5 linked regions of the Danio rerio genome follow. The protein of the gene in region 1 binds, or shares a complex with, the protein of each later gene. Links are inferred from orthologs where the notes say so. Each region holds a gene or a part of one and is shown in the gene's direction. Other genes may lie near its edges. The genes, in order: ahi1, cc2d2a, tmem216, tmem107l and mks1.

Region 1 (6,272 bases):
TTGTAACGAGTCTATCAGATCGTCTATCAGATCGGTCTGGCCATTCTCCTCTGGCGTCAACAAAGCATTTACACCCACAGAACTGCTGCTCACTGGATATTTTCTCTTTTTTGGACCATTTTCTGTAAACCCTAGCGATGGTTATGCGTTAAAATCCCAGTAGATCAGCAGTTTCTGATAGTAATGTGACGTTGTGCACCGAGGCTTTGAAGCATGTATCAAAAAAACGATGCATCTTGCAGTGTACTGGAGCTTGATTCGTTTTGCCATCATCACGTGATCAGTGACGTCCGAAGCTTCATTTTCGCCTATACCCACGTGACTGCTTCGAATTTTGATTCAAAGGTTTAAACACCCTAATGTGTTAGTAAAGTGTATAGCGAGAGATTTGGAGTTGATTACATACATTTCTACAGTTTTAAAGTACTGTACCGGTCCCACACACCAGTAATTAAACTATAATACAATAGTAATTTATAGTAAAAAATGTTTTGAACCACACTGAAGTGTATTAGCGTATTGTTTACAATGTTCTTTAAAGGGTCACGAAACACCAAAACACATTTTTTGAGCTGTTGACAGTCGTATATGTGTACCACACTGCTAAAAACACTATTAAGACACCTATATTTCACTAAAAAGTGTAAATTGGTTGTTTTTGCGTTATTTCAAGCAAATTCGTACTTCCTGTTTGAAACGAATTTTTGAAGCTGCGTCACGGTCATGACATAATAGCGTGTATTCCAGCGTGCAGACTGGGCGTCTGTGCCAGAGTGAGTCTTATTACGTCTTACAGTGTGATGCATTAATGCATGAGTAAGGCTTGGTTCAAACCAATCAGCGCGCTCTATTGTGCAACTTCATTAATATTCATTACTGTCACAGTGTAGACGGCAAAGACGCCACGTTGTGTTGGCAAAACAAGCGTGAAGTGTTGCTTTTATAGTTTGCTGCAGTTAAGTTTCGTTTTCATTTTCTCTCTGTGAGAGCGCAGACTCACATGTGGATTAACAGTGTACGCGACGCGCGACAACAACTTACGTGTCTAAGGAGGATTATTATTTACCTGAGAGCTGTTCTCATCTGCAAACGCTGAGATTGTAGTCTTCTCTAAATAAAGACGCGGCTCTAGTTGCTGGTGATTGTCCTGTCTCTACAGATTTGGTAAGTGAGCGACCAGTGCTCTTTGTTTATTCAGTTCGTATTTTATTCGTATCAAACAAACTATTGCACCGAGTGCAATAGTTAGCACTAACAGTTACAACCAAACTATAACCTCGTGTTGGATTTTGTGACCGGAATAACACACACGGCTTTCTGACACTACCTGCCGAGTGCATCTAAGTTTCCGGGAAATGCTGAGTTTTTTTTTCTCTCATTCGCCGTGCAGTATCAAACATTGCATGAAAAATACACGCTTAGAGCTGTTCCTCGAATCAAATATCTCGTTTGTCGGGAGGGACATTAATGAATTCCCTGAATGAAAGAGCCAAACTGCAGTTAAAGTCCACCATTTAATAATTTGGCAAATAATTCGACTACAGATGTCCATGTAAACACAGTCACATTGTCTGCTGTGGGTGTGTGTTTTGACTCTGAAATTCAGCGTGCCCAAATAGACACTCCCACACCAAGCCGCTTTTCTTCCTCCGACACTCCCCCCTAAACAGAGCTGGACACGCCCACTTTTCTGACTTTTTCCAAAGTAGAGGTGTGAAAACACACTGCTGAAACGAGGGGGTTTCATGGCCCTTTAAAGAAAACCCCTGCATATCGTAGTATACTGTTTAATGGAGACCAGCTGGCGAGTGCAGCCTGAATGCATCCCTCTTCTAGCTTCCTCCTTAGAGCATTCGCCTACCATGCAGGAACCGCTGGTTTGATCCCCGCTTGGAATAAGACTAGTTGAAATATGAGAAGTGTAAATGCTTTTGAATACCTGGGATTTTACTACAGTCATCGGTGGTGTAATGTAAAATACCTTATGTGTAAAAAACTACAGTAATTGAGTAATTTGTTTATATTACTGTTATTGTATTACTACATGAATGAGTTGGTCAGTTGTGAACATTTGACATTATTACAAAACAGTGCTTTCCTACACTTTAACCAGCAGAGGTCCTCATCCAGCTCTGATTTAGAAAGCTTCGTGTAACAAACCTTTTTCCGATACATTTGAGTCGAGCGCTTCACTGGTTCAGAAAGCTTCATTTCTCCATCATTAGTTTCAGACCAGCCCATCTGGCACCAACAACCATGCCACGTTCAAAGTCACTTAAATCACCTTTCCTCCCCATTCTAATGCTCAGTTTGAACTGCAGCCGATCAGCTTGATCATGTCTACATGCCTAAATGCATTGAGTTGCTACTATGTGATTGGCTGATTAGAAATTTGCGTTAACGAGCAGTTGGACCGGTGTCAACTAATCATTACAGTTAACAATTGCTCTGAACATACCATATTTACAATAGTTGCACTTCAATTGGCACACTATGGACTTATACACTCAACCATGTAGTGTAGAAATGGGTTTAGTGTCGTTCTAAATAGACACTAATGTTTTTACTAGACAGAAATACAAACCATTTCCCAGACAACGTTTAACAGCTGCCAAATAGTGAAACAAATGATCAAACTACCAAATAGTACCAGTCATGAGTATAACAGCATTCACCATTGGGAATGTAATCACTTACATAGGAGAATTTTGCTTGCACAATCCAAAATAAATAATGAAATCCAACCTTAGTGCCTAATAGCTCCTCCCCTTCTGCAATGTGACCGTTGAGTGCTTGAAGTATTCAACATTTCACACTTCTGTTTAACGGTTGAATAAGTCTTTTATCCAGGTATTTAAAGTGCACTTATTCTTTTAGTGCACTATTTATACCGGTGGTTTTCAACTGGTTTGGCCATGGGACCCACATTTTTACATGGTCATCAAATCTCGACCCAAAATTTTAGGAACTAAAATATAATTTTGGGAATTATAATTAATTTGTATTTATTTGTTAACATATACAAGTAGTGACAGATAAATGATAAGAAAATCCCCAAGATTAACAAATAAACACTATTTTATTATTGTAATTTAACAATATAAAAAATTTAAATTACAGAAAATATTACACAGTAAAAACGACAAATGTTTGGTTTCTAAAAGTGCTCTTGTGAGAGCTCCTCACTACACATGGCACACTGAGCCTTTTTTGTCGTCCATATATGTAAATCCATACTTGACATGTTCGGGGTCGTACTTGCGCTTCGATATATTTGTTGCTATAATTAAATGAAATTTCACATGTCAAACGGTACGGTTGTTCCCACAACAATTGTTTTTTTTTACCACACACTCTGCGACCCACTAAAAATGTTCCCGCGACTTTTGGGTGTGACCCACCAGTTGAGAAACACTGATTTATACTACAAAATAGCTTAGAATTGTGCATAAGTATGCAATTTGTAATGCACCTAATGTTTTTGTTGTGTTGGTCTGTACTTTTAGTATATGAGATTCCATCTGGGAAAGTTCTGTCATCTTTTAATGGCCATCTGAGTGTGGTTTATGATCTCTGCTGGTCCAGAGATGATAAAGGCCTGTTAACTGCATCCTCTGATGGAACAGTGAGGTAAAAACATTTGACAGTTTTAAAAGATCATAATACCACCTCATTATAATATGTACCTCATAATTACATATCAATGTTTTTCCCTTTCAGAGTGTGGAATGTTGAACGTCTGCAGACTCTTGCGCATAAAACTCTTCCGCACCCTTCATTCGTGTACTGTGCCAAGTTCCACCCTCAAGCCCAGAGTCTGGTGGCGACGGGGGGTTACGATGGCGTGCTGCGAGTCTGGAACGTAGATGTACAAGATGTGAATGGTCAACTTTTGCAAGAGTTTGACGGACACAAGACTTTCATCAACACTCTGTGTTTTGACCCTGAAGGTACAGAGGAAATTGGTGGTTTAATAACTGAATGGATGTTAAAGCTGTGATATGAGACTATAGTGATGTGTTGGTCTTTACACAGGGAGCAGAATGTTTTCTGCTGATAATTCCGGACTCATCATTGTGTGGGGAACGAAAGTTATGCCTGGGTCTCGCCGTGGAGCAACCAGTCAGTGGAGCATTGAGAGGGTAACAGTTTTCAATTAATGCATGGAAGTTAAATATTCATTTAAAAGATGAACATTTCCTGACTATTTACTCTCACTCAACTGGTTCAAATGTAAACGTTTATGAGTTTCTATCTTCTGTTGAACACAAAACTAAATATTTTAAAGAATGTTGGAAACCATTGACATTCATACACTGCAAAAATGCTTTTCTTACTTAGATTTTTTGTCTTATTTCTGGTCCAAATATCTAAAAACTCTTTAATCAAGCATATTTTTCTAGACAAGTAAAACATACTGTCCTATTTTAAGATATAATATGCCAAAATTTAAATAATCTGCCAATAAAGTAAGCAAAATAATCTTATGTCAAAAGGAAAAACTAGATTATTTTGCTTGTTTTAAGGAAAAACTCATTTAATATTGGCATATTATTTCTGAAAACAAGACAATATGTTTTGCTTGCCTTGAAAATTCTTCTTGATATAAGAACTTTTAGATATTTGGACTAGAAATAAGACAAAAAATCTAAGAAAAGCATTTTTTGCAGTGTAGTAGAAACAAAAATACTAGAGGTTGATGGCTGTTTTTCTCTCTCATCATAACAGTGTTTAACAGACAGAAGAAACTCAAAGTAGAGATCTGCGCGGGACTAAATTTTGAATCCCGCTCCCGCCCGCATCCGCCAGGTTTTAGCCCGAACCCGACCGCTCCCGCTCCCGCTCCCGCTTATATTAAGCACTTGTTGTCTCGCTGCCCGCCCCGCCCCGTTTTCTATCCGCTGCGCCCGATGCCGCTAAAGAGCGGGGGGAAAACAAAACCGAAAATCACCCAGTTATACAGTCCAGACAGCCTATAACAAGCTGTCTGTATAAACACACACACGCACAGCACCAAGCACACACACAGAAACAAAGCTTTCTCTCTCTCATTCGCGCGCGCGCCCACTAACACACACACATAAGCACCAAGCACACACGCACGCACGCACGCACGCACGCACGCACGCACGCACGCACGCACGCACACACACACACCTCTCATTCGCGCGTGTGCATACATATACACACACACACACACACACACACACACACACACACACACACACACACAGCAACAAACAAGCTAAACACAGCATCGCGCTATTTCATTTACACACATACATACGCGTGCTCACTCGGGAGTCGGGAGCGAATATTGCTAGACAGCCCGCTCCAGTCCCAAATTAAACCCATTACCGACCGCTCCCGTGATATATTCTGAAATTTATACCCGCGCCGTAGAAATCTGGTCGGGTCCTGCGGCGCCCGCAGGACAGCCGCGGGAATGCAGAGCTCTAACTCAAAGCTCAGGTGGAGGATTAGTAAATGATGTCTTATGTGAACTGTCCCTTTAAAAAAAATCAACTGAGGGTTGAAATACACTATATTAATATATTTTAAAACGCTGCGCACCAAGCAATTTTGTGTTCAATAGACGTCTAATAGACATCTAGCTTGGATGTTTTGGCTAAAACAAGGCTAAATTTGGGCTGTCAGTGAAAATAAATAATAAATGTTCAAGAATAGGCCAAAATGAGATCAAATAGACTTATTATACTCACTTGGTGTGTGTAATTATTTATTGAAGTGTATTTGATGACTAGTCTAGTTTTGGCTATTATACTAGATTTTTACTCGCACAGAGCCCAAATATAGCCTTGTTTTAGCAAAGACGCTTTTATTTAGACATCTATTAGACATCTTTTAAACACAAAAGTAGTAATCATTGTTAAAAACCCCACAAGGAAACATTTCTCCACAAATATTTTTCCTTTTTAATCTCCCATTATTTTTTTTGGTTATCTGTTGGAATGGAGAGATCATTTCATGTTTAATTCTCATGATAAACATCTGTTTTTCAATTTAGTTTATCCGGCAAAGAAATGCAGTTTGTTATTATGGGCATCAACCTTCTTGCATAATGTGGATGTCTTAAATATTTACACTACTTCTATTTAAGAAACCTACTAACGATTCAGATTAGAAGTCAAGTGACTTTTAGCAGATATGGACACATCTTTGGCACTGTGTTAATGACCTCCTTTGACTCCTCATTGACTACTGCCTGACATGACTAGATTCCCTGTATTCCCTTTTCTACTTTTTGTGTA
Region 2 (6,272 bases), on another chromosome or scaffold:
TCCTCTTTGTCGGACCGTTTTCTGTAAACCCTAGAGATGGTTGTGCGTGAAAATCCCAGTATATGAGCAGTTTCTGAAATACTCAGATCAGACCATCTGGCACCAAAACCATGCCTCGTTCAGTCACTTTAATCCCCTTTCTTCCTCATTCTGATGCTCACTTTGAACTGCAGCAGATCGTCTTGACCATGTCTACGTGCCTAAATGCATTGAGTTGCTGCCTTGTGATTGGCTAATTAGAAATTTGCATTAACGAGCAGTTGGACAGGTGTACCTAATAAAGTGTCCGGTGAGTCTATAATGCACAGTTATTGACAATAACGTTTAGGTGTCAAGTTGTAAAGTTGAAGTAAACACTTTTAAACTATAATAAACCAGACAAATGGGTTGAACCTAACTTAGTGGTTCTAAAGGATAGTGGCAAAGTATAGTTAAAGGTTTAAGTTTGGGGTCGAACTGTATTCTTATATAGTTATTTAATATGCCATAAAGTGAGTCATTTTCTGAACATGCCTGACAAGATTTCATGCAGTGTAAATTGTTGTTACTCTCAATGACTAGTGCTGTCTTCTGTATGTCATAGTTAAAATGTACTAATGTCATTGTTTCAGTAGAAAAAGTAAATAAAAAAAACTATTTTGAAGGTACAGTTAACACAAAAAAATGACATTTTCTCTTCCTTTACTTGTTTGAAACCTGTATAAGTTTCTTCTGTTGATATACTGAAGAATCAACAGCCATTAACCTCTATTGTATATGTTTTATTTCTACTATGGATGTCATTGGCTGCTATTCCCCCATCATTCTTTTGAATATCTTCTTTTGTGTACAACAGAAGAAAGAAACTCATAAAAGTTTGTAATGTCTTGACTGTGTGTAAAGGAAGAGGAAATGTTCATTTTCGGGTGAACTGTTCCTTTAAATGGACATAGTGTAATCTTTAAAACGTGCATTTCCCCTCTTGTAAAGGTCCCATGAAGTGCTTTAATAATTGTATTTGATTTTTGACGTAATCTCAACTTAAACATGAAAATAGAACGGGACATAGAGTAGCTCCTCCCCTTTAAAAAACAGCCAATAGCGTTTTCTTTTTGTCACAGCTCTGCTAGTGTGAGTGGTTGAGCTCAAGCGCATTAAACGAACACAAAATGAGAAGCGTCTTGAAGGGGGCGGGGCATGTCAGATACTAGAGAGCATTTGATTGGTCAGAAGATTTAATGAATAACTGAAGTTTGAGTTAACATACAAAAACATAGTTGATCTATATGGGCAAAAGTGACTGCAAGCTTGGGATGTTTATATCAGTGTTATATTTAAATGCAAATTTTATCATCGTTTTGGAGCACACTATCTAATAAACATTCTTAAAAAAAAAAAGGCTGAAACTAACATCTAAAAATGTTATTTTAATTTCATGGGGCCTTTAACTTTGATCCATGTGTGTATTTCAAAGCTGCTCAACATGTTTGTTGTATTAGCCGTTAGCTTTACACGAGTGCTTGGGTTAAAGCACTGAGCACCTGCATGAACTGCTGTATGTACGTCTGCTGATCTGCTGTAGGCTTTGGTTCCGTCAGACTGGGACGTGTCTAAGGAGAATGAACACACTGCGGTGGAGGTTGGTTCTCTGCTCACCCTTTCTACTTCCTGCAGTGCACTAACACATTCATGCTAGCCTTTGCTTTGGTGTGGATTCTGTCCTGATTTTCAGCGAATGAGCCTTTCATGTAGCTAGTAGCCTTAGTGGCTGCGTCCAAAATACCCTATTACTCGAGTAGGTACTACATTTAAATTTGAATTCACGTAACAACCACTAGAATAGTATGAACTATGTAGTATGAATGTAATTTGAATGTACTGCATCTCGGCTGGCGTCATGGGACAGCGTAGTATCCTTTGCATGTGCACTACAGAGGCTGCATCAGAAATTGCATACCTCCCTAGTACTATATTGTATGTAAAAGTGTACATGAGCCAAGTAGTATGTCCGAATTCATTGTATTGGAAAAACAGTACGTGAAAAATCCCTGGGTAAGCTAGTTCTTTTGGAGAGCTTCTGAAGTGCACATCCAATGGATACTAAGCTATCCCATGATGGCACCTCACACAGGTAAGAGGGCTTGACAAACCAGTTGTAGAAAACATGCTGTTTGACACTTTGACACTCGCTTTTGCACATTTACACCAGACACATTCCTACAATCACAATCCACAATCCATATCTCTAAACAAAAAACAAAGCAGAACAAACACTAGTTATGGTGTGATTCACACAGGTGAGTGGGCTAGACAGACCACCTGCATCTTCTCACTCTCCTCCTTAGCACTTACTCTCTGAGCACTAACAGTTCATATGTATAATCAGCACTTGTTGTGTGTATTGCCTCTTCTTGTTGAATCACTGAATGCCTCCTCAATTCTAAGTCACTTTGGACAAAAGCATCTGCTAAATGCAAATGTATTGTGAGATCTTAAGAAGACCTAAAACAAACTTGTGTTTATATATCTTAAAATGATTTTGTTTAAATATTTTGCAGATGTATTTTGATAGACTAATTAACCAATTATGACCCGCTTTTTCAATTATTTTCACTTGGACTTTTTCTTTTGTTCTCCTAAAATAACATTATCTAATTTTTATGCATTTAACTTTTAAGAAAAACTGTGCATAAACACAAAGGAAACAGCTAAATTAAAACTTAAAGGAATAGTTCACTTTAAAATGAACATTTCCTCACAATATACTCTATAAGCCTGTTTGAGATTCTTTACTGAAGAATTCTGGGAAAAAAGGCAGCCCATAGTAGGAATTAAAAAAAAAACTATGAAAGTAGACGTCTCCTTTTTGTGTTCAACAGAATGAAGAAACTCAAACAGGTTTGGAAGAAGTAAAGGGTGAGTTAATGATGACAGAATTTTTATTTTAGGGTGAACTATCCTTTTAATTTTACTGAATTGCATTACTATCAGATTATACGAGCTTATTCTTTATGACGTTTTCACTACAAACCTACAAAAATGTCACAGAGTATAGATATATAAAAATATATACATAAATATACATAAAAATAACATTTAAGGAGGTTTTTGTATGTATATTTATACCGTAAGGTTCTTCACTATGATATTTTAGGACATGGCTGGTGGAAAAGAGGACCCTGGTGAGACACTCAGACACTCATTGATGGCCAGGAGAATGAAGAAAAAGAAGAAGGTTTGCACTATGCTCACTTTATCAACTGACAGTATATGATTGCCAATATAACATGATTTCATTAATATTATTATTATTATTATTATTATAAATAATTAATTTTTATTGTTGATATATTAATTAATGGGTAGGAAAAGTTAATACGTATTAATAATGTAGTCAATACGAGCTGATTGGTTGTAGTAAAGTAGGCATTTCATGATGGGGAAGAGTTATTACAGAGTTATGGGGAGTTTGGGGAGAGTTATTACAACCTAACAGACTCCTCCTGCTCACCATTTCTGTTTGTTGTCTAAACTGACAGCTAGAGGGGCGTGTTTAAGTGTGTTAGCCCCGCCCACCGCCTCAGACAGACCTAATCTAAGAATTTAACTGGCAATAAACAAGAAGAGCATTTGCAGATTTCTATTAAAGATTACAAGTTTATTCTTACTGACATGCACAGATTAATTGTCACCACGAAACTAGAAATGGAAGCTAACAAAATCAAAATGTTTAGTTTTGATTTCATGTGTACTTTAAAATGTTAATAAAAACATCAGACCACTCAGAGATTGATCTTAAATCACTCCAGGCTTCCTATCAGTTTGATTGTTCTCTATTTCTCCAGCTGCTGAAGGAGAGTGCGGTGGAGTGTATTGCTGATGACGAGGAGCTGACAGCAGTGCCGGACACCAGAGGAGCAGACGGACAACACGCTAGAACTCCAACAGAGCTATCGCCAAGAGGTCAGACAATAGAACCACAACAGAACCAATAGAACCACAACAGATTGCAGACTTCACTATCAGGGTGTCTTAACCCTAGTCAACCAGAGTAGACCGCTGTTAAGTCCAGCTCCAGAATGGCCAATGTGAAGTTGTGAAGCAAACTATTGGCAAGTAAAAACAAAAATACGGGCACTGCATTCAAAAACTGTGTTTAGTGAAAGCGAAACAGTAAACAACTTTAACAAAGAATGTTTATTTTTTCCTATTTAATCGATTTTTTTTAAAGGGCACATATTTTACCCCTTTTACAAGATATAAGATAAGCCTTTGCTGTCTCTAGAATGTGTCTGTAAAGTTTCAGCTCAAAACACCCATCAGATTATTTATTATATCCTCCAGAATCTGCCCGTTTTGGTGTCTGAATACCTTGTAGCTGTAAAACAAAGAGAAAGCTAAAGAAAGTTTTGGCACTTTCAACTGTTCACTTCATCAATGCATTTGGCTGAGGGTGACAGTGGGGCTATAGCAGGGCCGGAGTGGGACTCATTTTCAGCCCTGGAGTTTCAAGCCAAACCGGCCCACCTCAGTTCACGACTGGTTCCAATTCAGTTTCTAATTTCACTATCACGTCTTTTTCAAGAAAACTGCTGCTTTAAAAATTCAAATGTTCAACAACCCTAACAGTATAATATGTCTTTACAATAAAAATGAAGAAAAAAAAATAATTTTACAGGTGAGACTCGAACACGGGTCCGCAGCGTTGAAACGCAACGTGCTTTCCTGGACCACAATGGCGCTATAACTGTGGCAATAAAAAATAAGTAATGACTTGTGACCCTTAAGACACAGCAGTACTTTCTTTTGATAGCTCAATCTTTTTTTCCCCTTTTTAGATTTCTGATCAAGTTATGTCAGAATTATAAATGTAGTGAATCATCTGATTTTCATTGGGCAGGTGTATTATTCATTAATAATAATTATTAGAATTCTTATATTTACTAAGGTGCCGCGGTTTGGGGTCGATAGTTACATTACATCATCATCATTAACGTTAGTTAACCTGCAGGCTGCATTTTGCTCACAGGGCTGCGAGAAAATAAATTAAAAAAGCAGCGCTGCAGCAAAATAATGAATAAAAAGAGTAAAGCTATGGTCAAATAAACAAATAGATGAAAAAAGTCTGACTGCTGAGAGTGCAAGCAGCTAGGGACACCGGCCCTCACGGCCAAAAAACAGACCGGCCCACCGGGAATTCTCTCGGTCCTCCCGATTAGCCAATCCGGGCCTGGGCTATAGTTATTAGGCAGTAAGGCTATGTAGATCTGAGTGTCATCAGCAAAAATATACATTGATAAATTAGAAGAACACTCCAAAAAATGAACTCCTGTTCAACCTTTGCATGCTCCCTCTGAGCCAAATAATGAGAAAGAACCAAATCTCCTACCACAGCTATGCTGATGACACTCAGATCTACCTAGCCTTACTGCCTAATGACTACAGCCCCATTGACACCTTCTGCCAATGCATTGATGAAATTAACAATTGAATGTGCCAAAACTTTCTTCAGTTAAACAAAGAGAAAACTGAAGTCATTGCGTTTGAGAACAGAGATGAGGTTCTCAAGGTAAATGCGTACCTTGGCACTGAAGGTCAAACGACAAAAAATAAGGTCAATAATCTTGGTGTGACTCTGGAGTCAGATCTGAGTTTCAATAGTCATGTCAAAGCAGTCAGTAAATCAGCATACTATCATCTCAAAAACATAGCAAGAATCAGATGCTTTGTTTCTAGTGAAGATTTAGAGAAACTTGTTCATGCTTTTATCAGCAGCAGGTTGGATTACTGTAATGGACTCCTCACTGGTCTTCCTAAAAAGACAGTCAGACAGTTGCAGCTCATCCAGAACGCTGCAGCCAGAATTCTGACCAGAACCAGAAAATCAGAGCACATCACACCTGTCCTCAGGTCTCTACACTGGCTGCCAGTTACATTCAGAATAGATTTTAAAGTATTATTACTGATCTATAAATCACTAAATGGCCTAGGACCTCAATACATTACAGATATGCTGACTGAATACAAACCCAACAGATCACTCAGATCATTAGGATCATATAAACTAGAAGTTCTAAGAGTTCAGTCAAAGCAGAGTGAATCAGCTTTCAGCCACTATGACCATCACTGCTGGAATCAGCTTCCAGAAATGATCAGGTGTGCTCCAACATTAGGCACATTCAAATCAAGACTGAAAACACATCTGTTTAGCTGTGCCTTTACTGAATGAGCATTGTGCTGCGTCCGACAGATTGCACTATCATGTTTTTCTCTTCTTCTTCATTCTTTTATAT
Region 3 (5,168 bases), on another chromosome or scaffold:
ATGCATTATATGAGATGCCTACCGCAGCTTAGTTTTAGGGATAGTAGAATAAATCAATGCACTGTGAATCAAGAAATGATTCTTGGATCGATTCAGAAATTTCCTGAATGCATTGCGATTCTCCTGTAAATCGATTCTCTATCGAAAAGGTTCTATATGCTTTCCAAACAACCACACTGTTCCAATCCTTACACAAACCATTTGAACATAAAAGAATCATTAATAAAGTTAATAATTTTAAGAAAATGTTTAGATAAATTAGTGTTCATAGTGAGCAGTGTTTATATTAATCCCATATTATATTAAGACTGAAGCACAATAGCTCATCTTCATGCTCAGTGTATGATTAAAGCGCCATCTGCTGTTCAAAAATCAGATTCCATTCTAGACTGAATAGTGATCCATTTCAAAGTCTAAGAATCAATCCACAATACGTTGATTTATTGCTGCAGCCATGCTTTGTTTACAAAATGAGTACTTCTAATTGCATTCGCATTGTAAATCTTAAAGTTAAGATATTGAACTTTACTTGTTAAGTTTTCAACACAGGGCGAGGCAGTGGCGCAGTAGGTAGTGCTGCCGCCTCACAGCAAGAAGGTCGCTGGGTCGCTGGTTCGAGCCTCGGCTCAGTTGGCGTTTCTGTGTGTAGTTTGCATGTTCTCCCTGCCTTCCCGTGGGTTTCCTCCGGGTGCTCCGGTTTCCCCCACAGTCCAAAGACATGCGGTACAGGTCAATTGAGTAGGCTAAATTGTCCGTAGTGTATGAGTGTTTGTGTGTTTCCCAGGGATGGGTTGCGGCTGGAAGGGCATCCGCTGCGTAAAAACTTTCTGGATAAGTTGGCGGTTCATTCCGCTGTGGCGACCCCGGATTAATAAAGGAACTAAGCCGACAAGAAAATAAATTAATGAAAGTTTTCGGTACCTATAATCTCAATATAATTCCATGGAATTATATTTACCTATTTTTACCAATTCTGTGCAGAAATAGCAAACGCTTTTTTAACATTATGTTTGGTTCTCTAAGGTTTAACCCAATCCAACCAGCTATCAGGCGACACATAATATTACAACTTTGATTCAAAGGAAATAAGTATAAACAAAATAAAAGAGATGTTTTGATACTGTGCATGTAATGGCTTTATTGAGAGAAATAACTCAAATCAAATGTTCAAAAATCATTTGTAAAAACAATATAGTTTCACTTCATTTTAAAATATGCAAAAAAATAAATATATAAATTTAGTATTTTAAAAATTAAATTAACTTCACTGACATGTTTAGCCCATTTCACCTATTTTATTGTTAGATTTGTCTGTACAGCATCACTCTCCACTATTAGACAAAATTGTTTATAAATAAGTTGAGCTAACGGGAACAGATGGATTTAGCAGAAGCATACACAATCAATTAACAACCTCGGAGCTCATAAATGGTCTGTCTTCAAAGGTTCATAAGCTTTTGTTTAAAATTGATTTCCCTGTGGATAAAATGATTGGGGTTTTTAATTCCAGGACATGACTGTTGACCTCCATTGCTTCTGTTTTAATACAAAAGCAATTTACTTTATTCCAGGTTAAAGCAATAGAATGGAATCCACAACAGATGAATTAGTCTTCAAATCTGTTGCAAAATAATCATGGTCTGTTGTGACTTACTGTGTCTATAAGGAAAAATATTATAAATGAAAGAATTAGAAATGTATATTCTTGACACTGCTGTTACAGTACGCCTTCACAGGCACTTTCATTTACAGTTTTATTTTGAAACATGACAAAATAGCAATATAGTGAAACTTCCCATTTTAAATAAACTTAAAAAAAACTGTGCTGCAAAAGAACTACTTTAACTGTTTTAACTGTTAACTATTTCCTAATTAGACATTCAGTTGAAGTCAGAATTATTAGCCCCCCTGAATTATTAGACCCCCTGTTTAATTTTTCCCCAATTTCTTTTTAATAGAGAGAAGAATTTTCAACACGTTTCTTAATAGTTTTAATAACTCATCTCTAATAACTGATTTATTTTAATCTTTGCCATGATGACAGTAAATAATATTTTACTAGGATATTTTTCAATACATTTCTATACAGCTTAAAGTGACATTTAAAGGCTTAACTAGGTTCATTTTAGTTTAACTAGGGAGGATAGGGTAATTAGGCAAATTATTGTATAATGATGGTTTGTTCTGTAGACTATTGGAAAAAAATGTAGCTTAAAGGGGCTAATAATTTTGTCTCTAAAATTGTATTAAAAAAAATTTAAAACTGTTTTTATTCTAGCCAAAATAAAACAAATAAGTCTTTCTCCAAAAGAAAGAATATTTTTTGAAAATAATTTTTTAAAAAAAGAAATTTTTTTTGCTCTGTTAAACATCAGTTAGGAAATATATAAAAAAAAAAAAATTCAAAGGGGGTTTAATAATTCTGACTTCAACTGAATGTCACTGTTAACAAGACAGGGATACAATAATGCAATTATTTTATGATGCAATAATATTATTATCAGCATGGATCCACTGAATTGTTTAAAGTGATATAAAATATTAGATTTTTACAAAAAATACATTTTTTTTTATTTATTTTACTTATTTGTCTATTCATCAAAAAATCCCAAAAAACACAAGTTTTCACAAATAACCTGTTAATACATAAACAGCAGCTTCAAACTTTATTTTTTAAAGTTCTGTTTAGCACATGCAGTTTTTTAAATTCATTATAAATATCCATTATGTTCAAATAATCCATTAGCAAACCAAATATGTGTGTATATGTGTTCGTATAAGTTCTAAATCCAAAAAGTTAAGGTAACTCAAACTGTTTGAGGAAACCGATTGCAACAAACCATTTAAGTTAAAAGAAAATCCTAATGAGTACTGTGAACATAATCCATTTTAGTAAATGAAGCAATTTGAGCACAGTAAAACCCATTAAATGAAGAGAACTCAAACCAACTGACTACTGTTAAACCCAATAAGTTAAGGCAACTTAAACCATTTGAGGAAACCGATTACAAAAAAACTAGTAATCTATATGAGTACTGTGAACCTACTCCATTTAAGTTGAAGTAATAAGGTATTTTAATAACTCATTACCTTCAACACTGAGATCAAAACTCTTTTCAAGTCAGTAGAATTAAATTAGCTATACTCATTTCATTTGATAAAGTTGATTGTTGGGTTTTACAGTGTAGAATTAAGCACTCATTTATAACACTCTGTATTTGAATTACAATTTTATATCCTGTCTAATGTTTAATATCACTTGAAATACAATTTTTAAATCTTAGACTGAACTGGATTTTAATACGCATTCTCTGTTCAGCTCTTAATAGAGTTTAACCCTGCTGTGTTCACAAGTGCATGATTGTAGAAAAAGAATTATAATAGATTTCCCAGAGATGGGTTGCGGCTGGAAGGGTATCCGCTGTGTAAAAACTTTCTGGATAAGTTGGCGGTTCATTCCGCTTGGACTAAGCCGGCAAGAAAATGAATGAATGAATGAATTATAATAGAGATAACTGCCCTCTTTGTTGTGTACTGTTGTAATTGATGAAAGTGCATTGCCCCATGTTGCAAATGTAGTGATAGTGTGTAAAATCTGTCTTTCAGGCTGGAAGGGGAACCTGTGTCAGCGTTCTTTGGCTCTGTTTGTGAGTGTTGCTATTCTGGTGCCATGTGCAGTGTTGAGTGTTTACTACCTGCTGCTTCAGACCTTCGTTTTACGCCTTGAGTTTGTCCTCAATGCTGTGCTCCTCTGCTTTTATGGCTTCGAGCTGGTTCTGGGAGTGATGACAATCTCAATTTTTTCCAGGTAGCTGTTGTTTTTTTGTGCATATTTATTCCATAGTTTCAGCATTAGGAGACACACACATTATAATGATATCTATGGAATGAATATACCGAGAGTCGGCAGTATTTTTTTAATGTTTTAAAATAAGCTTATCCTGATCACCAAGGCTGCGCTTATTTAATCAAAAATACAAAAGTAAATATAGCAAAGTAATATAGCAATTCCAGTACATTCCAGTATTTTTTGGGGGGGCCCCATGAGGAAAATGGCTCATAAATTACTTGGAATTAAGTATTTAGAAAATGTTAAATGGATATAGTTTCCTGGGAGAGTTGGGATTTGCGTGCGTGCGTGCGTGCGTGCGTGCATGCGTGCGTGCGTGTGTGTGTGTATGTGTGTGTGTTTGTGTGTTTGTGTGTGTGTGTGTGTGTGTGTGTGTGTGTGTGTGTGTGTGTGTGTGTGTGTGTGTGTGAGAGAGAGAAAACTTATTTAGAAACTTAATAGAACATATTTGTGGATATTCAGTAACCGACTTGCTGTGTAAAATAAACAATATTAAAATGCAGATTTTTCTTTCAGGGCCAACATCTATTAAATCCATCTTCTGAAAACATGAACACTCAATAACAAGGATAAGCAGCAGCCTTTCGAATAGAGAACTGTCAAGAATTACAATTAAACATAAAGCTGACAAGTACCTTTATTATGTAGATATTGTATACAGTGTAAATGTATTTATGTAAATAGAAATATAGCCATTATTAAATAGTAAATTGAAACAGATTTGTCATTCATTTGTTACACCACACAAACACACACACACACAATCAAAAATTTGGGATACAATTATTGAATGTTTTTAAAGGAGACTCATATTAACAAAGGCTACTTTAGTTAATCAGAAGTACTGTAGTACTTATTATTAATAGTAATTAATATTATTAACATTTTAAAACATCTGTTTATATAATTACTTTCAAGAAGATCTCTTTGTCATTGTTGAGCAACAATTGTACTCATTATATATTTTTTGGAAACAGTGACATTATTTTGGTTTTAAAAAGCCATTAATCTGAATATTGGGAAAAGATACAGTATACCATGCACAGAATCTTAAAGCTTTGACCCAAGCTTGGCATACATCCGAATTTATTTGAAGAAGAAATCCCTTTTGTTGGAGACTTAGCTTTGTACCTTTGCAAAGCTTACATGAATATACATAACAAGCTACAACAAAATTAAAGCATTACATAGCCGCCATATGGCCTAAAATGGCTCATTTTCCAGATGTTCTAATTGCGTCAACAAACGCTTATGTATTCTAGCTGCGACTGCTCTCAGGTAAATGTCATAATCCTAATTACAATTGGACACAGGATTA
Region 4 (6,990 bases), on another chromosome or scaffold:
CTGCTCCAATAGTAACATGCTGTAGACACGCAGGCCAACCCTACAGTAATATCCTCTCAGAAAAAGCACAATCATACAAAATATGACCCGTATTTGGTGTAATAAAGTGTATTTACGTATAATAAATAATTCACAGCTCTAGTTGTGACCCCAAAACAGAGTCAACGAAGAAAAATAGGTGCAACAAGCATTATACAAGTGATTACATTTGAGATGTTTGTACTGCATATTTAATAGTATATCTAGCATATTTAATAGTAATAGTATAATAGTAAAAGTAAATCTTACATTAATAATCTCTATGAGACTGCTCAATAAAAATAAAAACATGAAAAACAAGTCTGATCAAGAGATAATAGTTCAAAACATTAATTTAGGTCAGATGCCCAAAGTAGGGCCCAAGGAGCCAAAGTTGTAACCATTGATTTAGCCCACTATCCCATCTGAGAAGAGAGTGAGAATGATATAGAGGGAAGGGGCGAACACCTTTGAAAGAGACCATCATTTCTAGTTTGACATTTTCTTTAATTGTTTGTTTTATTGCTGAGATACAAAAAGAATACTGAAAGGAAATGTTTCAATTAATTATTTTAAATGAGTCTGATTTTTTTTATGTAAATACTGTCACTCGATAGATAGAGGACTACGCAGAAGACAGCGGTCAGCAAACCAAGGCAAAAACTAGTGTAAATCAAGTTGGGTTTTTGGCCCTTGGTAAGAAAACATTTGGGCACCCCTGCTTTAGGTAGCCTATATAAGAACACCTAAAGTACAGAAATATAATTTATTTATTATTATATATACATACAGTTGAAGTCATAATTATTAGCCCCCCTTTTTTTTCTTTTTTTTTAAATATTTCCCAAATGATGTTTAACAGAGCAAGGAAATTGGAGAAAGTCTTATTTGTTTTATTTTGGCTAGAATAAAAGCAGTTTTTAATTTTTTAAAACCCAATTTTGGGACAAAATTATTAGCCCCTTTAAGCTAATTTTTTTTTCGATAGTTTACAGAACAAACCATCATTATACAATGACTTGCCTAATTACCTTACCCTGCCTATTTCACTTTATTAACCTAGTTAAGCCTTTAAATGTTACTTTAAACTGTACAGAAGTGTCTTGAAAAATATCAAGTAAAATATTATTTATTCTCATCATGACAAAGATAATATAAATCAGTTATTAGAAATAGGTTTCTAAAACTATTGTATAGAAATGTGCTAAAACTATTTATATATATATATATATATATATATATATATATATATATATATATATATATATATATATATATATATATATATATATATATATATATATATATATATATATATAAATATATATATATATATTAAACAATTCTTTTCTTCATGGTTTTGTATCTAAGGTGTGCCAACCTTGTTTGTTGGGTTTCAGATTTATTAAAAATATATCACACCCTGCAAATAAAATGGCAAATGTTGTCACCACAATGTAAAAAAAAAAGTCTTCCTAAAACTGTCTATTCTCAATTTCTTAACTCTAAGGTTAATATTTTACTGCCTTCCAGAACAGCAAATGCCCTTGATAGCAAACCACTGAGTTAGTATTTATTTATTATTTACTAGACCAACGACGTCTGGCTGTAGGCTACAGTAAAAACTAATGATTCATTTATTTGTTGATTTGTGAATGCTGAAAACCTGCAACCATTGACATCCATATAGGAAAAACAAATGCTATGGAAGTTACAGGTTTCCAACTTTCTTTAAAGTATTGCCTTTATCGCTTAACAGAAGAAAGAAACTCACAAAGATTTACAACCACTTGAATAAACAGCAAACACGTTTTTATATTTGGGTGAGCTATCCTTTTAACTTATAGGGCTCTTATTACACACGTTTTATGCACTTACTATAATACCAATAAATTATGCATAATCACATGCAAAAACCCATAACCATAGTAAGTACTCCATATCGTTAATTAATGCCACTCAGTACTTTATGCTATAGATACACTGTAAAAATGAGACCGTAAAACAAAAAACAACTTAGTTTGTTTAAATGCATTTCATTTCGAGATTAGCACTGTCGCTTCACAGCAAGAAGGTTGCTGGTTCGAGTCCCGGCTGACATTTCTGCAGATGCTTTTTTCCCTGTGTTTGCTTGGGTTTCCTCCGGGTACTCCGGTTTCCCCCACAGTCCAAGGACATGTGCTATAGGTGAATTGAATAAACTAAATTGGCCATAGTATATGAGTTTGAATGAGTGTGTATGGATTTTCCCAGTGCTGGGTTGCAGCTGGAAGGGCATCCGCTGTGTAAAACATATGCTGGATAAGTTGGCAGTTCATTCCGCTGTGTCGACCACTGATAAATAAAGAGACTAAGCTGAAGGAAAATGAATGACTGAATAAAAGGCTTGTTTAAGACACCTCGAACACCTTGATAGTGCTCCCTATTGACCACAATAATGAAGTCTTTGAAATAAATTTTTTCCAATTGTCTTACTACTTGTCTGCGCTGCCATGTTCCAGTTCACCATTTTCAAGTTATTTCACCTTTAGTACCTGCTCTCAGCCGAAGGAAAATGAATGAATGAACATTTTGAGACATTGTAAAACCAAGTTGAGGACCAGTCAGAAAGCGACTCCTTCCAGCAGGTGACAGCATTGAGCTACTTGTTGGTCTGTTTTGACCATAACCCATTCGCCAAATAGAAGAAGAGTGTTGTCGTAGCAACCCGAAGCTTATATCGAGCGATAACTGTCCTCAAGCTTGATAAACTTATACGCATAGTAGCCTTATATACAGTGCTATATCTACTTTACTGCTCACCATTTGAAAAATCAGGTTTTAACAACTAACGCAAAGCTGGTACGTATACCATTTTGATATACAACCTCACGTTTTGTGAAGATGAACACGTTAAACCTTTAACTGTTAGTCATCCACTTGCACAGTTCAATCTAAGTTATTATGTCTTTCTTCTCTGTCTAGTGTTCAATGTCGGTGGTCAGCAGTCTGGTGCCTGCCCGTTTCCTCACTCTCATCGCGCACCTTGTAATAGTGATAATCATTTTCTGGTCTCGGGTAAGAAGTGTTCTTGTGTGTGTAATTGTTATTTTTATATCACACAACATCACTGCAGCCAGCTGTGTGTTTAAATGTGGAATGACCTACAGGAGTACAGTGTCCGAGCCTGTCTACCACTCGACTACACTAATGAAGAGTACACAGCAGAGGACACACGGTTGGGAAACACACTTTCTCTGTTCTGTATTGCTTCACAGTGGCTAAATGATAATATAATTATTTCGGTCATGTAGTGAGACTGAATAGTATTTTTTGATTCAACTTTATTGTCATTATACATGTACAAGGCAACAAAATGCAGTTGGGGTATACCTAGGAATGCGATAGCATCAAGTGCATGATATATGCACAGTGCTCAGCAAATGAGTACACCCCTTTGAAACAAAACAGATTTATTAAACAGATATATTTATTCAAATAATATTTTAGTCATCAAACATATTTAGAAATTGAAAGATATTACAATTACATTCAAGCAAAATAATCCAAAAAAGAAAAGAAATTACAACCTGCAAGATTTCAACTAAAATAGTCTTTTTTTTTTTCATTCCGCAATACAGAATGTATTTTAATTGTTAATTAAATGTACCTTTTAATTTATGAAACAAAATACTTTAAAATCTTTTGATGGCTTTTCTTGTTTGACCCATTTACAGCATATTATTGTTTGACTGATAGTAAATTGTACATTATTTATATGTAGATGTGAATAATGTTATGGAGTCAGATATAGTAAGTCCTGTTCATGACGCTGTCCTAACCATTGTTTTTGGAATACAGGCTTGTGGTGGCATTATCCGTGACTCTTGGCCTGTTAGCCATCGAGTTGGTTGGGTTTCTCTGTGGAATCTCTATGTTCAACAACAACCAAGCTCTTCTGTGTATCCTTACCAGTAGCACATCACCACTATAGGTTATATATATACTGTAGGTGTTGATGCATATAAATTGTGTATTATTTTCTTATATTTTCATGGATCGGAGTCAAATCTTCAACTTATGATTAACGCAAACAGCTCCCATATGTGTGTCTAGTACTAGTTTCTTACACATCTCATCCAAAGTCTTCTGTTTTGTTCAGATTTTTGACAGTAAATTACCTGAAGTCATGGGTCGTAAAAAATTATATGGAGCTGTAATGTGGTCAAGACCTACCTGGTATATAAAGTCAATCTAGGGCCATATATACAGTTGAAGTCAGAATTATTAGCCCTTTTGAATTATTACCCCCCTGTTTATTTTTTCCCCAATTTCTTTTAACGGAAAGTAGATTTTTTTCAACACATTTCTGAACATAATAGTTTTAATAACTTATTTCTAATAACTGATTTATTTTAGCTTTGCCATAATGACAGTAAATAATATTTGACTAGATATTTTTTAAGACACTTCTATACAGCTTAAAGTGACATTTAAAGGCTTAACTAGGTTAACTGGTTTAACTAGGCAGGATAGGGTAATTAGGCAAGTTATTGTATAACCATGGTTTGTTCTGTAGACTATCGAAACAATATATAGCTTAAAGAGCAATAATTTTGACCTTAAAATGGTGTTTAAAAAAAAAAATGCTTTTATCCTAACCGAAATAAAACAAATAAGACTTTCTCCAGAAGAAAAAACCCTTTTGGAAAAATAATAATTCAAAGGGGGGCTAATAATTCGGACTTCAACTGTACGTGCAAAATAAAATAAAACTTTGCAAACAACAAATAAAGTATTGAGCAAAAAATAAATAAATGTAAATGAAAAAAATAAAAAATACATTTTGCTAACAAAAATAAAGAACTGCAAAGGGGAAAATTGAGAAATAAAAATGAAATTTAAACAAAAAAGGAACTGCAAATAAACATCAAGCAGTAAAAAAACAAAACAAAAAGATTTGCAATAATCAAAAAAAAACTATATATATTTGCAAAACATTTTTATAGCATTGCTTTTACAAAACCTGCCCGGTCAGTTGCAATTGTCATTTTAATTAGATTTTAGTCAACTGTGAGTTTGTGATGCTGTTTTCACTTTGTACTTCACGTTTCTGCGCCTTTCACTTTGTGGCCCTGATTTGACAAGGGGACTGAGTCAAGGGAACTTAGAGGTTTACCTAAGGCCTGCCGTAAACGCCCAAGTTCCCTTGACTCCACCCCTTTGTCAAATCAAAATGAGCATTGCAGTTGACTGGATGGGTTAGGTCAAGGCTAAAAATGTTTTGCAAATATTTATATATTTTTTTTTTCAGTTCTTTTTTTGTTTGCAAATGTAATTTTTATTTTTCAAAAATAAATTTTCCTTTGAATTTTTAAATTTTTGTTAGCAAAAACTATTTTTATTTCTGAAAAACAAGTTTTTGCTTGGGCGAGGCAGTGGCGCAGTAGGTAGTGCTGTCGCCTCACAGCAAGAAGGTCGCTGGGTCGCTGGTTCGAACCTCGGCTCAGTTGGTGTTTCTGTGTGGAGTTTGCATGTTTTCCCTGCCTTCGCGTGGGTGCTCCGGTTTCCCCCACAGTCCAAAGGCATGTGGTACATGTGAATTGGGTAGACTAAATTGTCCGTAGTGAGTGAGTGTGTGAATGTGTGTGTGGATGTTTCACAAAGATGGGTTGTGGCTGGAAGTTGGCGGTTCATTCTGCTATGGCAACCCTGGATTAAAAAGGGACTAAGCCGACAAGAAAAAGAATGAATAATTAAAGCTTTTGCTTTGCGATTTTTAGAGATTTGCATTTATTTTTTGCTCAATACTTTCAATTTTGTTTTAAAAATGTTCTTTTATTTTGCAAGTATATGGCCCTAGATTGACTCCACAACTTTAGCCATATGGTTTCCTTGAAAAAACAAAAGTTTAACAATTAACATAGCCTCGTATTATAAAACCTAACAAAGATATCTTTACTATTGCTTTCCAAAACTAAAAGCAGTACAAATCAATACAATTAGACAGACATGATAGACAATCCCAGTGGTAGAATGGCAGCAAAAGTCTGGTTTGTTAACAATAAAGGCATCATGATACAGGCACAGAATTTTATTTAACCGTCACTTTTCAGCTATTGGATGTCACAGCAGTGGCTCTGTGGCTTTGCTTTTCTTCATGTTTGAGCAATGGACCTGCAGCATTTACTGGTGGATCTTTTCCTTCTGCAGGTCAGTCGTTTAATGATTAACAGTCAAAGCATAACTTTAACTGTGAATGCCCTTTTCAATGAATTCGCTTTAACTTTGGTGTATTTGAAACATGTTTTCTTTCTCTATTTCAGTGTGATTCCAGCATTATATGAGATGGTCATTGTTGTTGTGGTGTTTGGATGTAAGAGAAAGCCTTTGTGAGTGTATCTGCCCTTTTGCTTTAGGAGAGTTGGATGTTTTCTTTCCATGACCGATGTACCAGAATAGCATTCACTCACTGGCACAATAAACTCCTGTTTTTCCACAACGCTTCTCTGGAGAGTTGCTGAATTGTTATGGGTGAGGGCTTAAAAGGATAGTTCAACCAAAAATAAAAATTCTGCCGTCATTTACTCACCCTTGTCTTGCTATAAACTCGTTTTAGTTCTTTGAACACAAAAGAAAATATTTTAAAGAAGATTGGAAACCTGTAATCATTGTCAACCATAGTTGGATAAACAAATATTATTGAATTTCATGGTTACAGGTTCATACAGGTTTCGAACAAGTTAGGATGTGTAATTGATGGCAGAATTGTTATTTTTTGGGTGAACTATCTCTTTACAAGTCAAGCTATTGAACTTTTATAAATACAGATATTTTTATAATGTTGAAAATATGTTAAACCTCTTGTGATGATTAAAGGCATTTTGTATTTTACAGTTTTTCTCCATTGGTTTGGCTTAATTCTGGACACAGAAATTCTCAACACTCTAAGGTCAGATTTGGCAAAACATAGTTCAGCACAACACTATAGCT
Region 5 (6,272 bases), on another chromosome or scaffold:
AATACACAGCAGTGATTTATTTCTTTTTTTATTTAGATTGGCCACTGTATCAAATAAACTCATAGAATTGTGTTTATTTGGTTCTTATAGAGTTGATAAGCAGATTTAGCAGACTAATGCGCGCAAGACAAATATAGTATATATATATATATATATATATATATATATATATATATATATATATATATATATATATATATATATATATATTTATATATATATATATATTTATATATATATATATATGCAGTGATGTCTAACTTTGCTGTAGTTTTCAATTGACTGTGCAAATAGTATAAGGTGCTGTCTTGAGCATTTTCAGGAAGTGTCTCCAACATCTGATTTTTTTTTTTGCATGGAAAAAATGTCCGGAGCTAACTGTCATATTGAAAACAGGACAAAGCCATTTGACTATCGTGTTCATAAATAATGGTGTCAGGAATTTTCATTTTGATGATACTGACACTTAGATTGACATGAATACTTGCGTTTGAGGAATGAACTATCCATTTTGAGCATGTGACGCGCTTTTGCAGGTTATCAGCTAGGTTTTGCAGTTTGTACTAATTGTTTTGAAAAATGCATTAACTGTTGTGCAAAAATGCACTGGTGTTGTGAGAAACGCACCAAAGTGACTTTGAAAAACTGTAAAAGAGAAAAAAAATTTAAAAGGGGGCTAATAATTCTGACTTCAACTGTGTGTATTTATATATATATATATATATATATATATATATATATATATATATATATATATATATATATATATATATATATATATATATAATATATATAATATATATATAATGGTGCACTTTATACAGCATTGTCTATTTGGACAGCATAAACATGCTTTCCACTGGTACAAATTGCTACAGTTGCCATACATTATTTTCTGATGTTGAGACACAAAAGCACAATGGCTGAATTCTACACAGAGGGTCATTTTTTAAGTTACATGAAAGAATGAGAAATGGTTGAACCATAGCTGCCATAAGCTGTCAGATACGGCTGCGATATAAGTGAAATGTCATTGGCTCTAGTTCAAAATAAGGCATATTTTGATTGTTAAATGACCTGACATTAAGACATTTTTAAGTGTAGCTTAACTGGCCTAATGCTAGTTATTTTATTAGTGTTTGATACATTTTCTCTGACTTTTCATGGTGTTAATGTTGGTTCATGTTCTTCAGATTGGTCCAGTGTTTCCTCTCATTGTCTGTCTGGTGTGACTCAGACATGTCGCACACGCAGTATAGAAAAGGTGAGTTGTCATTTTAGTAAACTTCATCAGTGTGTTTGGAACTGTGGTAAGCATGTTTACTGTTTTATAGGAAGATGTCGCTTTCTTCTCCTATCCATTCAGCTTTGAGACCTTCTTCCATAAAGAGGATGAGTCTGATGGTGAGATGCCTCATAATGGCGATATCCAAAGATACTTTACATAAATTACATTTTAATCCTGAAGGTTAACATGTCAGTCCATTGTGATGTTGTGTGCAGGGTCATTACCACAGTGGCCAGTGCTGTATTTTAAAGTTCTCTCACTGGATTTCTGGCAGCGCTTTAGAACTGAGGGCTATGGCTATTTGGTCATCCCTTCAACATCAGGTAGGAGAGTGTTTTGTTTTGTTATGCTTTTTATCATTTTTTCCATATTGGCTCTGTAAACATTAGCCAGTATATTGGAGTTAAGTTCAAATTAATCTAGTAGGAGTCATAACCAAAGACAAAACAGGAACGATTGACATAATCAAAATTATTTTCACATAATTTACAGTGAATTTTATTCAGTACAGTTTTTTTCCTCAACACTAAGTTGGACAGATTTTTCTGAGAATTGTAATGTGCTATAACAATAATGTCCTAATTTGCAATTTGCATTTACAATTGTATGCAAAAGTTTGGGCACCCCTCTGTGGCTGCATAGTAATGTGCTCTTTCTTTATAAGAGAAGATCGGTTTCCATTTGGCTTCTAGAGAAAGCTACATGATGTCATGTTTTTCAGACAGAAATATGTAGTGTAGCAGTATTGAGACGCATGAAATTTAATTGAAACTGAAAAATAGACTATGCAAAAGTTAGGACACCCTCTCTTTTGTGCGAATTTTAAAACCTGAAGTCACTTAATGCTGATTGATTACAACACAAAATTGATTTGAGTGACAATCCTAATACAGATGCAGCCAATCATGAAAAAGGATATTTAAAATAGCTGATTGCTAGTTGTGCTTCTCCTTATTGGGAACTACAAAGAAGCAACATAGGAACCTCAAAAGAACTTCCTAATGACCTAAAAATTAAGACAATTCGACATGATTTAGGAGAAGTATGCAAAAAGCTATCAAAAAGTGTTAACGTCTCCACAGTCAGAAATATAGTAAGTAAATGGAAGGCCACAGGAACAGATCTTGTGAAGGAAAGATGGGGTAGGCCAAGAAAATTATCTCAAAGGCAAAGAATAGTTAGAACGGTCACAAACAAACCACAGATCACCTCCAAAGATTTCCAGGAATGTCTTACTGCTGCTAATGTCACTGTACATCGTTTCACGGTTCATCTCAGTCATTCACAGTCATATGAGGTATGCAAAGGCTCATCTAGACTGGCCTGAATCGTTTTGTATAAATATACAGTGGACAGATGCTACAATCATGGACGCTTGGCATGGTGGAAAAAAAAACACAGTATGCCAGGAGAAGAACCTGCTCCCTACGGTAAAATTGGTGGAGGGTCCATCATTCTGTGTGGATGTGTGGCAGGCACAGGTACTGGAAACCTTCTCGTTGAAGGTTGAAGTTGAAGGTGGCATGATTGCCACCCACTATCAGCAGATTTTTAAGAACAATGTTCAAGAATCAGTCAAGAAGCTAAAGTTACGGTAGGATTGGATGTTTCAGCAGGACAATAACCAGAAACACAGTTCCAGATCTACCAAGGAATTCATGCTCAGACGCGATGCAGTGTTCTATAATAGACTTCTCAGTTCCCAGACTTGAATATCATCGAAAATCTAGATTGATTTGAAAAAGGCTGTTCATGTTCGGCACCTATCAAACCTGGATGTTCTGGAGACATTTTACAAGGAAGAATGCCCCAAAATGCTTCCAGCAACACTTTAGGGACTTATCATTGGCTATAAGAAGCGTTTACAGGCTGTTTTTTCAGCCAAAGGTGGCTCTACAAAATATTAATTTCATTATTCTGTTGAAGTGCCCAAATTTTTTCATCTCTTTGTTTTTGTTATAATTTAAATTGCATTGCATTTGTTGATTAAATAAGTTTTATGTCAGATCTGAAATGTTGCTTTTATCCTAGAGTATAAAATCTATCCAAATTAAATGGCTAATGGGTTTTCCATGGAACTGTATCATTTATTCATTCAGTTTAATATTGTGGTTTATCAATTAATCATTACAAGGATGTGCTATTGTCACGTTTGGTTCCAGTTTTACAAATCTAAACTAAAGATCTAATTTGTAAAATAAAGAAAATGAATATCAGCTTGTTCAGTGGTGGCTTTATTGTGCTCTCAGGGCGTCATAGAATGACCTGCCGCACATGGAGAGCAGTCCAGCGTGGCACAGTGGCAGAACTGAGACGCTTCTTCATTGGTGGAGCTCCTGAACTCGAGGACATCAGTTACGTCAGAATACCTGGCACTTTTAAGGTCAATCATTATACATTTTCTGCTGTGAAATTTGTGTAATGGCATGTTTAGTAATTCAGTTAAACAATTGAATGTTCTAATCTACTGCCTTTAGGGAGAGAGATTGAGTCGCTTTGGCTTTCGCACTCAGACCACTGGAAGTGTGACCTTTACTCTTAATTGTATCCAGCATGCCAGGTCAGCCAACAGCATCAGCGAATCTTGCATGACTGTATTGTCTCTTTAAGATTGAATAAGAGCTTCTGGTACTATATTCAGGGCTTTTATTGATGCCAGCACACTGAAGAAGAGAAGACAGACTGTTCTGGATCAGTTGGGGGGCCACAGTCAGCAAGGCTCTGTCTATAATGTTTTGGGTAAGAAAGATCTAAATAACTTAAATTGGGGTCAATATTGCTTTCAAAGTTCCCACTAAATCAAAATTAACCATATGATTTTGTTAGCTCACATCTCTGCATGTCATTAAAAAAAAATTGCCCTTCTAATATTTGATTTGAAGTCTGTAAAAAAATTGTCAGATTACTTCTATTTTAGTAATTGAGTGTGGCTAACATATTTAACCCTGCTGCTCCAGTTGTCAGCTTTGACAACAAACAGAAATAGTAAGCAGGAGGAGTCTGTTGTAATAACTCTCCCCAAACCCTTTTCCCAATCTTTCTGAATAAAACACCTACTTTACTACATTCATTTAGCTCGCAGTAGAAAAAAAAGCCACACCCCTGTTACGTCATTTTTATATACTGTTTCTCTAGGGGTAACACTTTAGTATAACTATCCATTATAACTAGTTAACAGATCATTGTTAACTATTAGTTAATGGGTTATAAATGCCTTATTAAATAAAAGTTAATAGTTTGTTAATTGTTTATAACTGTGCCTTATAGATAGCCAATAGATATTTTACAAGCTGTTAGTTAACAAGTTATAAATGACTTGTTAAGTGTATTTTAATGATTTATAACTATACCTAATAAAATTGTATTAGATCATGAACAAGCTGTTAGTAAATCACTTACTAAAGACTTGTTAAGTATCAGTTAATAGTTTTTATTTGTTATTGGGTTGTTTTTCTTAAGTTGCAGCTCTTCTTCATTTATTAACTGTTAGTAAATGAGGAATAGTTGCAACTTTAGAATAACTTCCCAATAACATACCTAAGCTAATAACTAACACTTAACCAATATATTAACTCTCACTTTACAGATCAGTTGTTCATAATTTAACCATCTACAAATACCATTGACAGCAAATGGATGGAACAAGTTGAAGCTACAGAAATTTCATGTGATGTTTAAAATATAACATTTTTGTACCGTAACCTTGTTCCGCTCATAGGCTTTTCTGTGTGCTGTAATTTACCAAAGAAACTCCACAGATGAAATGTTGAACATTGTGTTTAATGTATAGAAACACACATACTGAGCCATCACATGGCATAACAACAGTATAGAACAGAATACAAACCCATAAGGTTTGGGCACTTTTTGTGCTAAACATGAAAACAAAATAAATAAATAAATATTTTATTAGAAAAGTTTGACAGAAGTTTCACTGTTGTTATTAGATGGTAAAGAATCTCAACAATTGATCTGAAGAGTGAGATTTATTATATTAGTTAAGTGTTAGTTATTAGCTTAAGTATGTTATTGGGACGTTATTCTAATGTTGCAACTATTCCTCATTTACTAACAGTTAATAAATAAAGAATAGCTGCAACTTTAGAATAATGTCTCAATAACATATACAAACTATTAACTGATACCTAACAAGTCTGTAGTAAGTGATTTACTAACAGCTTGTTCATGATCTATTACTATTTTATTAGGTATAGTTATAAATCATTAAAATACAGTTAACAAGTCATTTATAACTTTTTAGCTAACAGATTGTAAATTATCTATTGGCTATGTATAAGGCACAGTTATAAATAATTAACAAACTATTAACTTTTATTTAACGAGTCATTTATAACCCATTAACTAACAGTTTATTAATGGCCTATTAACTAGTTGTAATGGATAGTTATTATAAAGTGTTACCTGACTTTATATAAAATGAATTGTGTATCACCGCACTATTGCATCATGTTGCAAGTCTTGCATGTTTTTCATCCTATCTTGGCAACTGATGGTATCTTATAGGTTGTTGATTGACATACAAAAATTGTATGTTTGATTGCTAAAGAAAAAGAGTTTCACCTTAGACTAATTTCTTCAACGGGGCCACAGGGTGGCTTAAAGGTGCAGTAGGTGATCTACCTAAATGCTAACAGGTTAGTATTATATCTTCCAAACACAATCCCTCCCCTGCCATACAAAGCCACGCCTTCTGCAATTGTGAACTCGCACATTAAAGATGAAAGAGACCCACTAGATCATGTCATTCGCCAGTTAGAAAACTTTATAGTACTTTATAATACTACAATTCTGAATGAAAAACTGTATTATATCTAGCACATTTTCTGTTGTGTAGCAAGCAAATATTTCATATATGCAAGGATCGCTGGTCTTACTCACTCACACGCTTTGTCCTAAAGCGACTACTGTATGCTTAGTGGTTTGCCAGCGGCATTCAGGAATTACAATTATTACTAAACCATAC

Evidence for each region.
Region 2: ahi1 (region 1) and cc2d2a share a complex: the UniProt entries of both Homo sapiens proteins name them as parts of the tectonic-like complex. The link is inferred for Danio rerio from reciprocal best matches to the Homo sapiens genes AHI1 and CC2D2A.
Region 3: ahi1 (region 1) and tmem216 share a complex: the UniProt entries of both Homo sapiens proteins name them as parts of the tectonic-like complex. The link is inferred for Danio rerio from reciprocal best matches to the Homo sapiens genes AHI1 and TMEM216.
Region 4: ahi1 (region 1) and tmem107l share a complex: the UniProt entries of both Homo sapiens proteins name them as parts of the tectonic-like complex. The link is inferred for Danio rerio from reciprocal best matches to the Homo sapiens genes AHI1 and TMEM107.
Region 5: ahi1 (region 1) and mks1 share a complex: the UniProt entries of both Homo sapiens proteins name them as parts of the tectonic-like complex. The link is inferred for Danio rerio from reciprocal best matches to the Homo sapiens genes AHI1 and MKS1.

The regions. Positions count from the first base shown.
Region 1 is NC_133192.1:9,393,505-9,399,776, reverse strand, and holds part of ahi1 (jouberin), read left to right. Parts: intron 1-3,506; coding exon 3,507-3,630; intron 3,631-3,720; coding exon 3,721-3,950; intron 3,951-4,035; coding exon 4,036-4,142; intron 4,143-6,272. UniProt on the Homo sapiens protein: Involved in vesicle trafficking and required for ciliogenesis, formation of primary non-motile cilium, and recruitment of RAB8A to the basal body of primary cilium.
Region 2 is NC_133198.1:2,300,614-2,306,885, forward strand, and holds part of cc2d2a (coiled-coil and C2 domain-containing protein 2A), read left to right. Parts: intron 1-1,478; exon of another isoform or gene 1,479-1,561; coding exon 1,562-1,618; intron 1,619-3,133; coding exon 3,134-3,214; intron 3,215-3,788; coding exon 3,789-3,942; intron 3,943-6,272. UniProt on the Homo sapiens protein: Component of the tectonic-like complex, a complex localized at the transition zone of primary cilia and acting as a barrier that prevents diffusion of transmembrane proteins between the cilia and plasma membranes.
Region 3 is NC_133189.1:29,306,805-29,311,972, reverse strand, and holds the end of tmem216 (transmembrane protein 216), read left to right. Parts: intron 1-3,606; coding exon 3,607-3,808; intron 3,809-4,366; coding exon 4,367-4,382; 3' UTR 4,383-4,566; downstream 4,567-5,168. UniProt on the Homo sapiens protein: Part of the tectonic-like complex which is required for tissue-specific ciliogenesis and may regulate ciliary membrane composition.
Region 4 is NC_133198.1:31,417,756-31,424,745, reverse strand, and holds tmem107l (transmembrane protein 107 like), read left to right. Parts: upstream 1-2,702; 5' UTR 2,703-2,859; intron 2,860-2,982; 5' UTR 2,983-2,988; coding exon 2,989-3,075; intron 3,076-3,167; coding exon 3,168-3,235; intron 3,236-3,858; coding exon 3,859-3,959; intron 3,960-6,113; coding exon 6,114-6,210; intron 6,211-6,323; coding exon 6,324-6,393; 3' UTR 6,394-6,499; downstream 6,500-6,990. UniProt on the Homo sapiens protein: Plays a role in cilia formation and embryonic patterning. Requires for normal Sonic hedgehog (Shh) signaling in the neural tube and acts in combination with GLI2 and GLI3 to pattern ventral and intermediate neuronal cell types.
Region 5 is NC_133180.1:61,427,866-61,434,137, reverse strand, and holds part of mks1 (tectonic-like complex member MKS1), read left to right. Parts: intron 1-1,193; coding exon 1,194-1,264; intron 1,265-1,334; coding exon 1,335-1,404; intron 1,405-1,503; coding exon 1,504-1,611; intron 1,612-3,537; coding exon 3,538-3,671; intron 3,672-3,765; coding exon 3,766-3,848; intron 3,849-3,929; coding exon 3,930-4,027; intron 4,028-6,272. UniProt on the Homo sapiens protein: Component of the tectonic-like complex, a complex localized at the transition zone of primary cilia and acting as a barrier that prevents diffusion of transmembrane proteins between the cilia and plasma membranes.